3 linked regions of the Caenorhabditis elegans genome follow. The protein of the gene in region 3 interacts with the protein of the main gene of each other region in a pairwise test. Each region holds a gene or a part of one and is shown on either strand. Other genes may lie near its edges. The genes, in order: rbr-2, ing-3 and gmeb-3.

Evidence for each region.
Region 1: the proteins of gmeb-3 (region 3) and rbr-2 interact in a two-hybrid assay, tested with the Caenorhabditis elegans proteins (one large-scale study listed by BioGRID).
Region 2: the proteins of gmeb-3 (region 3) and ing-3 interact in a two-hybrid assay, tested with the Caenorhabditis elegans proteins (one large-scale study listed by BioGRID).

What each region holds. Positions count from the first base shown.
Region 1 is NC_003282.8:10,918,322-10,922,074, forward strand, and holds the start of rbr-2 (Lysine-specific demethylase rbr-2), read left to right. Parts: upstream 1-1,748; 5' UTR 1,749-1,785; coding exon 1,786-1,929; intron 1,930-1,972; coding exon of another isoform or gene 1,973-1,979; coding exon 1,980-2,111; intron 2,112-2,370; coding exon 2,371-2,807; intron 2,808-3,035; coding exon 3,036-3,223; intron 3,224-3,272; coding exon 3,273-3,753. UniProt on the Caenorhabditis elegans protein: Histone demethylase that specifically demethylates 'Lys-4' of histone H3, thereby playing a central role in histone code. Does not demethylate histone H3 'Lys-9', H3 'Lys-27', H3 'Lys-36', H3 'Lys-79' or H4 'Lys-20'.
Region 2 is NC_003280.10:13,874,097-13,877,849, reverse strand, and holds the start of ing-3 (Inhibitor of growth protein), read right to left. Parts: upstream 1,817-3,753; 5' UTR 1,789-1,816; coding exon 1,761-1,788; intron 1,695-1,760; coding exon 1,623-1,694; intron 1,570-1,622; coding exon 1,466-1,569; intron 81-1,465; coding exon 1-80. Other genes in the region: ndub-8 (NADH dehydrogenase [ubiquinone] 1 beta subcomplex subunit 8, mitochondrial), read right to left, coding at 2,632-2,833.
Region 3 is NC_003281.10:3,766,648-3,770,400, reverse strand, and holds gmeb-3 (SAND domain-containing protein), read right to left. Parts: upstream 1,902-3,753; 5' UTR 1,854-1,901; coding exon 1,713-1,853; intron 1,498-1,712; coding exon 1,323-1,497; intron 1,273-1,322; coding exon 1,176-1,272; intron 995-1,175; coding exon 798-994; intron 743-797; coding exon 554-742; intron 484-553; coding exon 152-483; 3' UTR 73-151; downstream 1-72.

The sequences.
Region 1 (3,753 bases), on a different chromosome or scaffold from region 3:
GTGTGAAAAAGTTATATATTTTATTAACGATTTATCTTAGAAAAATTGTTAACTGTCAAACGAATGCTCTGAACATCTGAAAATCGTGCACTGTTCAATATGTTACACATTTTCGCTTTAAGTTCCGCGTTCAGCCTCACTTTCTAACCACGTCTGTGATTACACGTCTTCAGCGTTCGGTCATAAACTTCTGATTCTCCCTCCGTTTCGTCTATTTGTCGTAAGAATGTGTGTAGTCGTGTGAAACAAGTCTTTTTCGCCCTTTCGTTTTTAATCAGCTTCTTCACACGCAGACAGCTGATTCTGCTTTTGCAGTTATAATCTATGTCTTCTCATTCTCTCGCGCGCAACCATCGTTTATTTCAAAACGGGCGCATAATAACTTTTTAATGAGTTTGATTTAGTTTTGAAAAATAATATTCACATTCCTTAGAAACTATGGAGATTCACAATTCGGCGAAATCAGTTTCTACATATTACTGTGTACTTTTTACAACTTCTATGATTTTAAAGTGGCGAGTTTATGCGGAATGGTCTCGCCACGCTCTGCGATTTTTTTTTCAGAAATCTGGTATGTGCGCCTTTAAGATTACTGTAGAGGGTTTGCTGGCAAATCTCCAATTTTCTCGTTTCTCCCTTTTCTTCATTTTCGATTGTTCTTTTCCCAATTTTCTGTATTTTATGTAATTAGACATGCCAGAAAAATCTCTACAGTCATCTTAAAGGCGCACACGCCAATTTTTTCATGAGTTCGCAGTGCGTGGCGAGACCATTCCGCATTGATACGCCTCCCTTTAAAACCGTAGTAAACAAACACAGTCTCAAATCTTCAATTAAAAATGCTGGCTCTCGGAGCCATAATTCCATGTTCTCTTTTTCTCTCAGTCTGTGTTCATTTTACATGCGTCTTCCTGCTTTCTCTTCGTTTTCTTTGTGTGCGCCCATCTTTCCTCAGCTGCTGGCCTCAAAAAAAAGTTAGTGCAAAAATTCACGTATTACTAGGAGGCACATGCGAGAACGCGTCGCGCACATAACATGAATAAAGTGTGATTGGGCAGGAGACCGAGAGATTATTGCTAGCGAATAGCATGCAAACAGAGGAGTGACAAGACGACGAGAGTGGACACTCGAGAGTAATGTTCGGCGGAGCGCACTTTCCTCGATTTTCGTGGGCCGACCCTGGTGGGCGCTGGGGGCTATTTCCTCTCGGTTTTTCGATTTTATCTATATTTTTTTCTGTTTCTCCGCTTATCTTTACCGCACGCAATTTCTGACGAAAAGGACACCGACCTACTGCAAAGTGGTCAAAGAATACCAGTCTCTCAATGCATTTTAGGTGACACATCAAAAAGATTCAGAGAGATGGAGTTTTCAATGATTTGAGTTACTATACGATGCCTTACGTGTCTTGACCTACATTTAAAACTCTACCAAAGATCCTTGTCTAAACTTTGAAAAGCTGCTCGACCTCAAAAATTGGAGAAATATATATATTTAAATATGAGTCATTTTTCAGCTTAATTATTTATACAATATTAAGTTCAAATCAAAAGCTTAATAAGAAAAAGCTTAAAAGCCAATTTTAAAGGAGTATAAGCTAATTTTCATTTCCGGGTTTCTATGACGTCTATCATAACACTCGTGATGCATCTTGTTTCATCACATGGAAATTTCTCGTCGGTACTTAAAATGTTCTTCTTCTCAAAGCTTTTAATTTCAATTAATATTAAAGTCAAACAAAAATGAAATTTACAGATCTCATGAAGCTATAAGCCAAACTGAAAAATGCGTGCACGTCGTCAAGAGAACAGTATCTCGACGCCGTCAGCACCGTCGACGAGCACTTCTCCGCGGAAGAAAGCATCCATCGGAAATTCAAGATCTAAGAATCATGGAAGCAAAATGGAAATGTACGATCAATTCTATAAGGTTTGATTACTAAGACATACATAAGGTGAATAAGCTTTCATAGTTTTCAGAAATTCGTACGACCTCCAATGGCTCCAATTTACTACCCGACAGAAGAAGAGTTCTCAGATCCAATCGAGTATGTTGCCAAAATACGACACGAGGCCGAAAAATTTGGAGTTGTTAAAATTGTTCCGCCGGCGGTAAGTTATTTATTCGGAAAATTGTACGTCTGACGTTTAACAAGTTTTTAATCGTTTTTGAAAAGTCTGAAAAAAAGCGAAACAATGTTTGTAGTAGTTTAAAAACTTCTACTACTCCCTTCAATTAAATACTAAATATTAGAAAATTTTCAGTTTACTAAAAGAATGGTCACCACTTGAAAAGTGCAATTTTATCTGAAAATTTTTGATTTTTCCCTCAAAAAACGAATCGAGAAGCATCAACTCTCTTTTTTTGCAGAATTTCAAACCACCGTTTGCTATCGACAAAGAAGCCTTTACATTTCGTCCCCGAACTCAAAAACTGAATGAAGTGGAGGCAATTGTCAAAGAGAAACACACATTTATTGACCGATTAATCAATTTCAATCGATATTCTGGTCTAACTTTTGAGTTTCCAGTGGATCGAGATGGAAATATTGTCGATTTGTATCGATTACATCGTATAGTTCAAAACTTTGGAGGATGTGAAGAAGTGAATGAAGATGAAAAATGGAGAGACGTTGCCCGCGAATACCTTCCAAAGGAGCAAATGGCTCGCGGTGTTCCGTCGGCTTTCATAAATTTGATTCGATCACATTATAATTTGCACATTGAACCATTTAATCGAAATTTGAAAGAAAAAGCGATGAAAAATGATGATGAAAGTGATGATGAAATGGAAGAATTAAAGCATAAGTGAGTAATTAAGAAATTTAAATAAATAAAAATCTACAAATCAGTTAAGAAAACATAATGTAGATGGATTTTTTTGAAATTATATGCATTTTAAATTTTTCTTATGTACCCATGTTTTTGTTTTTTAGAACCATGAAAAAATGTTAAAACCGATAAATAGTAAAATTTTTAATTTTGTTATTAATAATTTCCCCCATTATTCTAATTAAAAACGAATGAATTTCATAGATATCAACATCACCACGGAACTATGCGGACAGAAATAGAAGTTCCAAATGATAAAACTACTGAAGGAGGGGAAGATGAGTGTCCAGTGTCGATGCAAAGTGGTCGACGGAGATCTAAAAATAAGAAGGCTTCATCTTCAAGAAAGACTCTTGGAACATCTTCAAAGAAGAATTCAACCAGAGGAAGAAGTTCGTTTTTTAAATTTAAATTTTTTAAATTTATTTTCACAAATTACAGAAAATAAGAAGAAAGCCGAAGGAGACGATGATGATGATGAAGATCCAATGGATCAAGTATTCTGCGTTGCTTGTAATGAAGGAAAGGATGAAGATCTACTACTTCTTTGCGATATTGATGGATGCAATAATGGTCGTCATACATATTGTTGTGATCCAGTACTCGATGAAGTACCAGAAGGCGAGTGGAGATGTCCAAAGTGCATTGAATCAGAGGATGCAAAAATCGGATTAGACTGGGGATTTTATGATGCGGACACAGAATACAATCTGAACTCATTCACTGAATTTGCCAACAAATGGAAATGTGATTATTTCGGTGTAAAAGATGTATCACAAGTGTCGTGTGATGCTGTGGAACGATCATTCTGGAAGAATGTAATTTCACACGAAAATCCAGTTTCTGTCAAATACGGTGCCGACTTGATTACGAGTCGAGTAGGAAGTGGATTTCCTCGAAAAGAAGATAAGCACACTGGCCC
Region 2 (3,753 bases), on a different chromosome or scaffold from region 3:
TTGTACTTTTTGAGGAGTTCTTGCATTTTTTCGGCGATTAGATATTTGCGTTGAGCTAGCACGCGGATTGTGGAGAATTCCTGAAGAAAATTGGTTGCAATTTTTTGGGTTTTTTCAATTTTTTTTTTGTGAAAAAGCAAATTTTTGAACTTTTTTTTTCATTTTTTAAGAGAAATTTTGCCATTTTTCAGCTATTTTTGTGATAAAAACTTTTTTTTGAGCTTATTCAACGTTTTAACGAGAAATTTTGAAAAAATGGTTGAATTCTAAAATTTTTATTGAAAAAAAAAAGCAAATTTTTGAGCTTTTTTTTACTTTTTAAAGAGAAATTCTGAAAAATTGGTTGATTTTATGATTTTTCGGGGGTTTCGACTTTTTTTTTGTTGTGAAAACAGCTAATTTTTTTTTATAATTTCGGCATTTCCTTCACTTTCAACGCGAGAAAATCTGGAAAATTGGCATTTTGGGATTTTTAAGCTTTTTTTTTTTTTAAAAGCTAATTTTTCAGCTTTTTTTTTAAAGAGAAATTAGAAAAATTGGCTGATTTTTTGGGATTATAAGGTAGTTTTGGGGGAGAAAGCTTTTAAAATTAATAGAAAATGCAAATTTAGGGTTTTTTTCCAAGAATTTCGGCAAAATTGGTTGTATTTTGAGATTTTGAAAGTTTTTTTTAGAAAACCACGAAAAAAAAATTAGAAAATGCAAATGTAAATGTTTTTTCCCAAAAATTAGTTGAATTTTCAATTTTTTTTCGTGAAAAAAGCTAAATTTTCAGCTTTTTTTTCACTTTTTAACAAGAAATTCCGAAAAATTGTCTGAATTTTGCGATTTTTTGTCCTGTTTTTTAAAAAAGATTTTCAGTGAAAAAAGGAATTTTTTCGACCGTTTTTTTCCGAGAAATTCTGAAAAATTAGCGGAATTTTGGGATTTTTTCGCGGAAAAATGCTCATTTTTTGAAAATTTCGGTATTTCCTTTATTTTTAGCGGAAAATTTTGAAAAATTGGATGCATTTTGAGATTTATAAGCGTTTTGGGCTAATTTTTGCGTTTTTAAGCTATTTTTGTGAAGAAAAAGCTTCAAAAAACGATCAAAAACGACAAAATTCTAATTTTAGGTTTTTTTCCGAAAAGGTTACAACTTGGTCGGATCTTGAGCAACTTTTTGAGTTTTTCGACCTCATTTTAGTGTTTTTAGACGTCATTCACTTTGAGTATTTTTGAGCACTTTTGGTGTTTTGTGGGAAAAAAAAGCTTAAAAAGTGAAAAAATGACATCAGGCAAAGTACAAAAAAATCCCATTTTTTCTCATTTTTCTTCACGAAAAAGCTAGAAAAACGGGTTTTATAGCGAAATTTCTCATTTTTCACGAATTTTAGCCGTTTTTGTGGCAAAAATCAACTTTTTCCTGCGTTTTCGTGTCAATTTGCTGCCAAATTCGAGTTCCAGGAATTTTCATGAAATTCACCTCCTGCAAAACCTTGCAGCGCTCCTTTCTCTGCTCCTCGGGCATATTTACGCCGGTTCTCTCGAAAAAATCGTTGATCGCCTCTCGATTACGGTTTAGACGGGCTAAAAATTCGAAAAAATGAAGGGAAAAATTCAGAAAAATTTCGAAATTTTACATTCAACTTCATTGTCGATTCGCCGAATTTCATCGCTTCTCTCCTTCAGCTCGGCAGGCAGCTCATCGAGCACTGGAAAACGTTGAAAATTTGGGTGTTTTTATAGGGGAAAAGTTTGCAACAAAAAAAACCACTTACTTTCTAAAAAATCATCGAGGAAGAGCATTTTGTGCGGGGGCGTCCAGCGCCGAGTTCTGAATTTTTTTTCCAAATAATTAATTAATTAAAAGTGGAGTAGCGTAGCGCCAGTGGGAAAATTGCTTTAAAACACGCCAAATTCAAAAAAAAATTTCTAAATTTTATATGATTTTTTGAAAATTGAAAAAATCTCAGTTTTTACCCCTAATTCCTATTTGAATTTCCGCCAATTGAACTCGTTCGTTGGAGCGCCGCGCTTGCACGTTTCTAAATTTATTTATTTTTTGTTATTTTCCACCGATTTTTAATGTTTTCGGTGTATTTTTGCTTGAATTTTAGAGAAAAAGTCGAAATAAATGCAAATTTTCGAATAAAAACCATGCGTACAGACCGAAATCAGTGAAATTAATTAATTTTGTCATTTTTACGCCTGTAAGCGTGCTTTTTAATCGAAATTTAGCATTTATTTTGACTTTTTCTCTAAAATTCATGTAAAAATACACCGAAAACTAAAAAAAATTGAAAATCGGTGGAAAATAACAAAAAATAAAATAAATAAACTTAAAAACGTGCAAGCGCGCTCCATCGAACAAATCCAATTAGCGGTAATTCAAATAGGAATTAGGGGTGAAAACTGAGACTTTTTCAATTTTCAAAAAATCATATAAAATTTAGGAATTTTTTTTTCAATTAGGCGCAATTTTAAGCAACAAAAAAAACGAATTAATAGGTATAAAAGCGTTAAAAACGCTGAAAAAAGGGCAAAAAAAAGGCAAAAAAAAAAATGATAAAATTCGAATATTTTATAGTACAAAAAAGGAGAAAACGGAGAAAACTACCAAAAAAAAAACAACCGAAACTAAGGAATTTTCTATTCCAAATCAAACGAATAGTTGACAATTGGGTATTTGCGTGGATCGTCGAACGGGTAGGCACGGTAGAAATCGTATGAATACTGCTTCGGCATTGCCGGATTCTTCCAACGGAGCGCGTTCGGATGTTCGTTGGTAAAGTACCAGGCGAGGAGAGCCATCGGTACGAGCACGCGGAGGCACATAACGATCGAGTTCCAGCTGAAAATTGGATAAATTAATTAGAAAAAAAAAACAAAAAAAAACAGCCTAAAAATCCGAAAATTAAAAAAAAATCGCAAAATTTAGAAAATCCACATTTTTTTCACCGAAAATACTAAAAATCGCTGCAAAAATTCAAGAAAATCCGAGAGATACGAAATCGATAAAATCGGTAGATTTTTTCGCTAAAAATCGGTGAAAACCCGTAATAAGAGGCAAGAAAATCAGTAAATAATTTGAAAAATGTCAAAAAAATTTCCAGGAAATCGAACGAAAATTCTCAATTTAGTGAAAAAATCTCAGAAAATCAACTGAAAAATCCTTTAAAAAATTTAAAAAACCTGTGGAAAATCCGACGAGAAATTCAAAAAAAATCAATGAAATTTCAGGAAAATCAAAAAAAATTCGTCATTTTTTTAGCCAAAATACGAGAAATTCCTCTTTTTTTCAAAAAATTATGAAAAAAACTGCCTAAAAATACGAAAATCCACTTTTTTAAGGGAAAAAATTCGGAGTTTTATCAGAAAATCGGGGAAAATTATGAAAAACTTAAGTTTTAGGGCGAAATTACCCGAAAAATCTGCGAATTTTCGGATTTTTATCAGAAAATTGGACTAAAATTCGCATTTTTCAGCGAAAAATTCGCTTTTTTATTAGAAAATCGGAGAAAATAATGAAAAAAAAACTGGCTGAAAATCAGAAATTCCGAATTTTTACCTAAAAATAGTGAAAAATTATGGAAAAAACTGCCCAAAAACCCATAAAATACACATTTTTCAGCGAAATTACCCAAAATCTGTGCAAAAAATCAATTCAAAATTCACGGACTACGAGACCCATTTTTTTTTCAAAAACAGGAACAAGATATGTCAAATATCCAGAGCCAGTGAGCATTTTTCGTGAAAATTGGAAAAAAAAAC
Region 3 (3,753 bases):
TCAGTTTTTTTATTGAACTGGAAGCTTCTGGGAAATAGAACAATTTTGTGATTAAATTCTGAAAGCACTTAAAACTTGAAAAAATCTTTTATTTAAATACTAGTACTGGTACGAACAGTACAGAACAAAAAATAATTATTATTAAAATCTATTAAAGATCCTCCAAAAGATAACTGCATCTAGGTTGATTATCCAAGTCGTCAGCTTCAGTTTGAGCATCTTCTTGATATTTTCCCTGGTCCTCCATCATTTCATTTTGCTTCTTCTGTTCATTCACATTTCTCTCGATCGATTGCACTCGATTCACAATCGGCTTCTGGATACCAAGAGCAAATGTGGCACGAGTCAGAACAAATGCACTATTTTGATTCAAGGATTGAGTCATTGCAGATTGTTTCAGATTGATAGCACCGGCAATTATGTCATCACAGAATTGAGAAATGAAGCCGCTTCGCTTGATTTGAGACCAGAAACTCATTGGATCTGGAATCATTTGGAAGTTTATTTGATAGGTAGAGGCAGTGAAACTCGAAAATATGCAAAAACTCCTTACCATTTTGCAGACAACTGTAAATATCCTGAGCTGGGCTGCACACAGGTCTTTCTGGAGCTGGGGATCTTGTTGAGAAAGCTGGCTGGAAGAACTCTTCAAAAACAAGCTGATCTTCTGATTCAACAAAGTTGATTTCCAGCTTTGCCTTGTTTTTCTTGCCTGCTGGACGCCCACGACCTCTTTTCTTGACTGAAAAAATAGGATTTCCTTAAAATTAAATGCACCATGATTTTTAAAATATTACTTGGCTCTTCACTAATTTGTCCACTACTTTGCTCCGTTGGCTCAGATGCATCATCTCCGGAAGCTAGAACATCTTCGAGGTGACGTTTGTTAACTGGAGCTCTGCCCGTTGAGTTCATGTAGTTGCGACTTTGGCACTGTCCATGACAGATACTCTTGTGATTATAGAAATCGATGGTTTTGTTCTCCAATAGTGTTCTGAAATTTAATGAATTAAAACTGGAACGTTAAGAATTAAACGTGGCTAGCAGTCCCAAGCAAAAGGTTACGATTAAGCCCAAACCTAAGCCTAGCACATAACCTAAAACCGAGGCCTAAGCCTAAGCATACGCCTGAGCCTAAACCAAAGCATACAATTTATTGATCTTTCTGCACTCACCTCAAGCTAACATTCTCCACACGAATACACGCCTTCCAGTCTTTCTGTCGCCCTTTTCCACCAAGTTCCGTAAATTGTTTCGGAGTCAGATACTGTGCTGAAATTCCAGAATAAATTCATTCTCTCACATTATAAAAGCCACCATACATTCATATTCGATGCAAGCCTGACGAATTCCGGGGCACCTGAACAATTTGAGATGCATAATTCCTTTGACATATCCACAGGTAACCGGCACCGTGGTGGCATTTAGAGGTACAATTGGTGTCCAGATATGTTCAGATGGAGTATCCAGGTAAGTATAGCTGAGTTCCGATGCTTGCTGTAATATTTATTTGTTATTTTCGAATTGCTAATTGGAGCCAAAATGGCATTTTTCGTATCTCAGACAGCAATGTAGGTGCATTTGAAGTTTTCAAACTAAATTGAAGATTTTTTTCGAGCCAAAAAAGTATTTCCGAGACTAACAAGACTATTTCAATTTTTGGAAGAATTGTTTCCAAAAAAATTGTCTCAAAATTTCACATCCCAACTCACATCATACATATTCTCCTGAACGCGTCTCCCGTCTATCTCGAAATTTGGATCACTTGGAACCAGCATCTCTTCGTTTTTCATCTCACTGGTTGATCCGAACTCGGGTTGAGTAGAGAATTCGAAATCATCGTCGTCACACATTTTTCAGGTAATCGATGAATAAAGATGGGCGACCCGACGCGACACGATAATTTCTGACACGCAACTAGTTTTCCGCCAGCTTGGATCTGTTGGCTTCTCGCGTGTTTTTGAATATTTTTAAAATAAATTAATGATTTTTTTTTTGAAAAGTTAAGGCATTTCAATGATCAAAAATATCATTTATACTGGAAAAATTGCAGAGAAAAATCCAAAAAGTATTGTGGTATCGTAAGCCTTACTAGGGACAAACAATATGATTATTAAAATAGATGACTGCAGAAAAATTAGTTTCGGAAGAGCATTTTGAACTAGCAAAAAAATGTTTTTCATAAGAGTTTTTTTAAGTTCTTGCGAGGCCCGGTAATTTGCATGGAAGCTTTTTTTTTGAAAAAAAAATCAGCTTCTAAAATTGTTTACCCAACTAAATTCAAAAATTTCCAGATTTTTTTCCAGTACGTTTGTTGTGAAGAATTACACAGAATTCAAAAAAATGCTCTGCAAAATTATTTGAAATGGGATTTTTTCTGAAACATCCGGTGTTAAACATTTTTACTATTTTTCTGTTACACAGGGTAAATCATCCTCCACGCCATCCCATTACAATGAGCACTGTATTTGAGCATATCCACATTCCATTAAAAGTGGTGGGTGACCCGGACTTGTACTTTTACTTTTTGAAACCGCAATTCAATGATCTAAATACCCATGAGAGGCCCGATAATGAAGGTGATTTTATACTTTTTAACGAACAACGATTACCTCATTCGTCATATGACTGGAGCCTGGAGCTAGCTACAATTTTTACATTTAAAATGTTTTTTTTTGTTTTGAAAATTAACTGTTTGCTTGTTTTTTTTCATGTGCAGTGGAGAAACATCTGGAATTAATTTTTAGATATATTTTTATGTTCTAGCTAAGATATGATTTTTTTAATTTTAAAATATTAATGGGTGAATAGGGGAATACCTATTCAATGAATTGCGGCTGTGCATGAAAAATCGCGAAGTGGAAGTTATATATTTTAAAATTTATGAAATTTCCTAAATTTTCAAAATTGTTAATTGAGCAGGCGACATTGATTGTGGGCTCCATCTCGGCATATCCAGGGTACTTACGCAATACTGGCTAGTTTATTGTAATGGTACGGTACAGTAGCGTTACTAAAGCAAGCTCTTCTTGTTTTTTGACTGAAATACTACAGTTAGGATCCACGCCCAAAAAAACTGAAACTCTTTTTTTGCTCATTCCCAGTATCAAAAGTAACAAACTTTAATATGATAGTATCTTATTTTGTTTTTGTTCAAATAGATGGTTGATATCGTAAAAGCGATAGTGGGAATGCTTGTTTTTCAAGTTTTAGTTTCGAATTTGGTTGTTACAAAACTAAGGTATGATAAAGATGTTCTGCTTTACTTTTTTGGCCAAAAAAGTATCAAAAAAAAGTTTGAAACACAGATTCCCACCACTTTCAGCCTGTCTTAGAACAAATTCCATTTTCTCTTGCTGATAAGCTGTCTATGAGAGAGACACTATTTACATTACCTCAATATACTTGCCATAATGTTACTTGGTTTTGAAACTTAATGAATCATAATACGTTTATTGTTGCATTGAGTCCCCCCTTTCAAACAGGCGGTCCCCCCTACCTTATGTGTCCCTCCCCACCAGCCGAACCTCCAATCGTCTACAACTCCATTCAACTTTTCTTCGTCCATCTCTCTGTCTTATCGCATTTGTCCTCTATATGAGACACACTTATCATAAATTGGTGGGCGACACACAGACACTTTCAATTGTCACTATTTCGGACACGTCTCGCGATGTTTCATTGGAGCTCATTGCGCGTTGTTTTTAGAGTTCCGGTGTAGAGTGTGACATTATAGTTAGATGAAATTCAAAT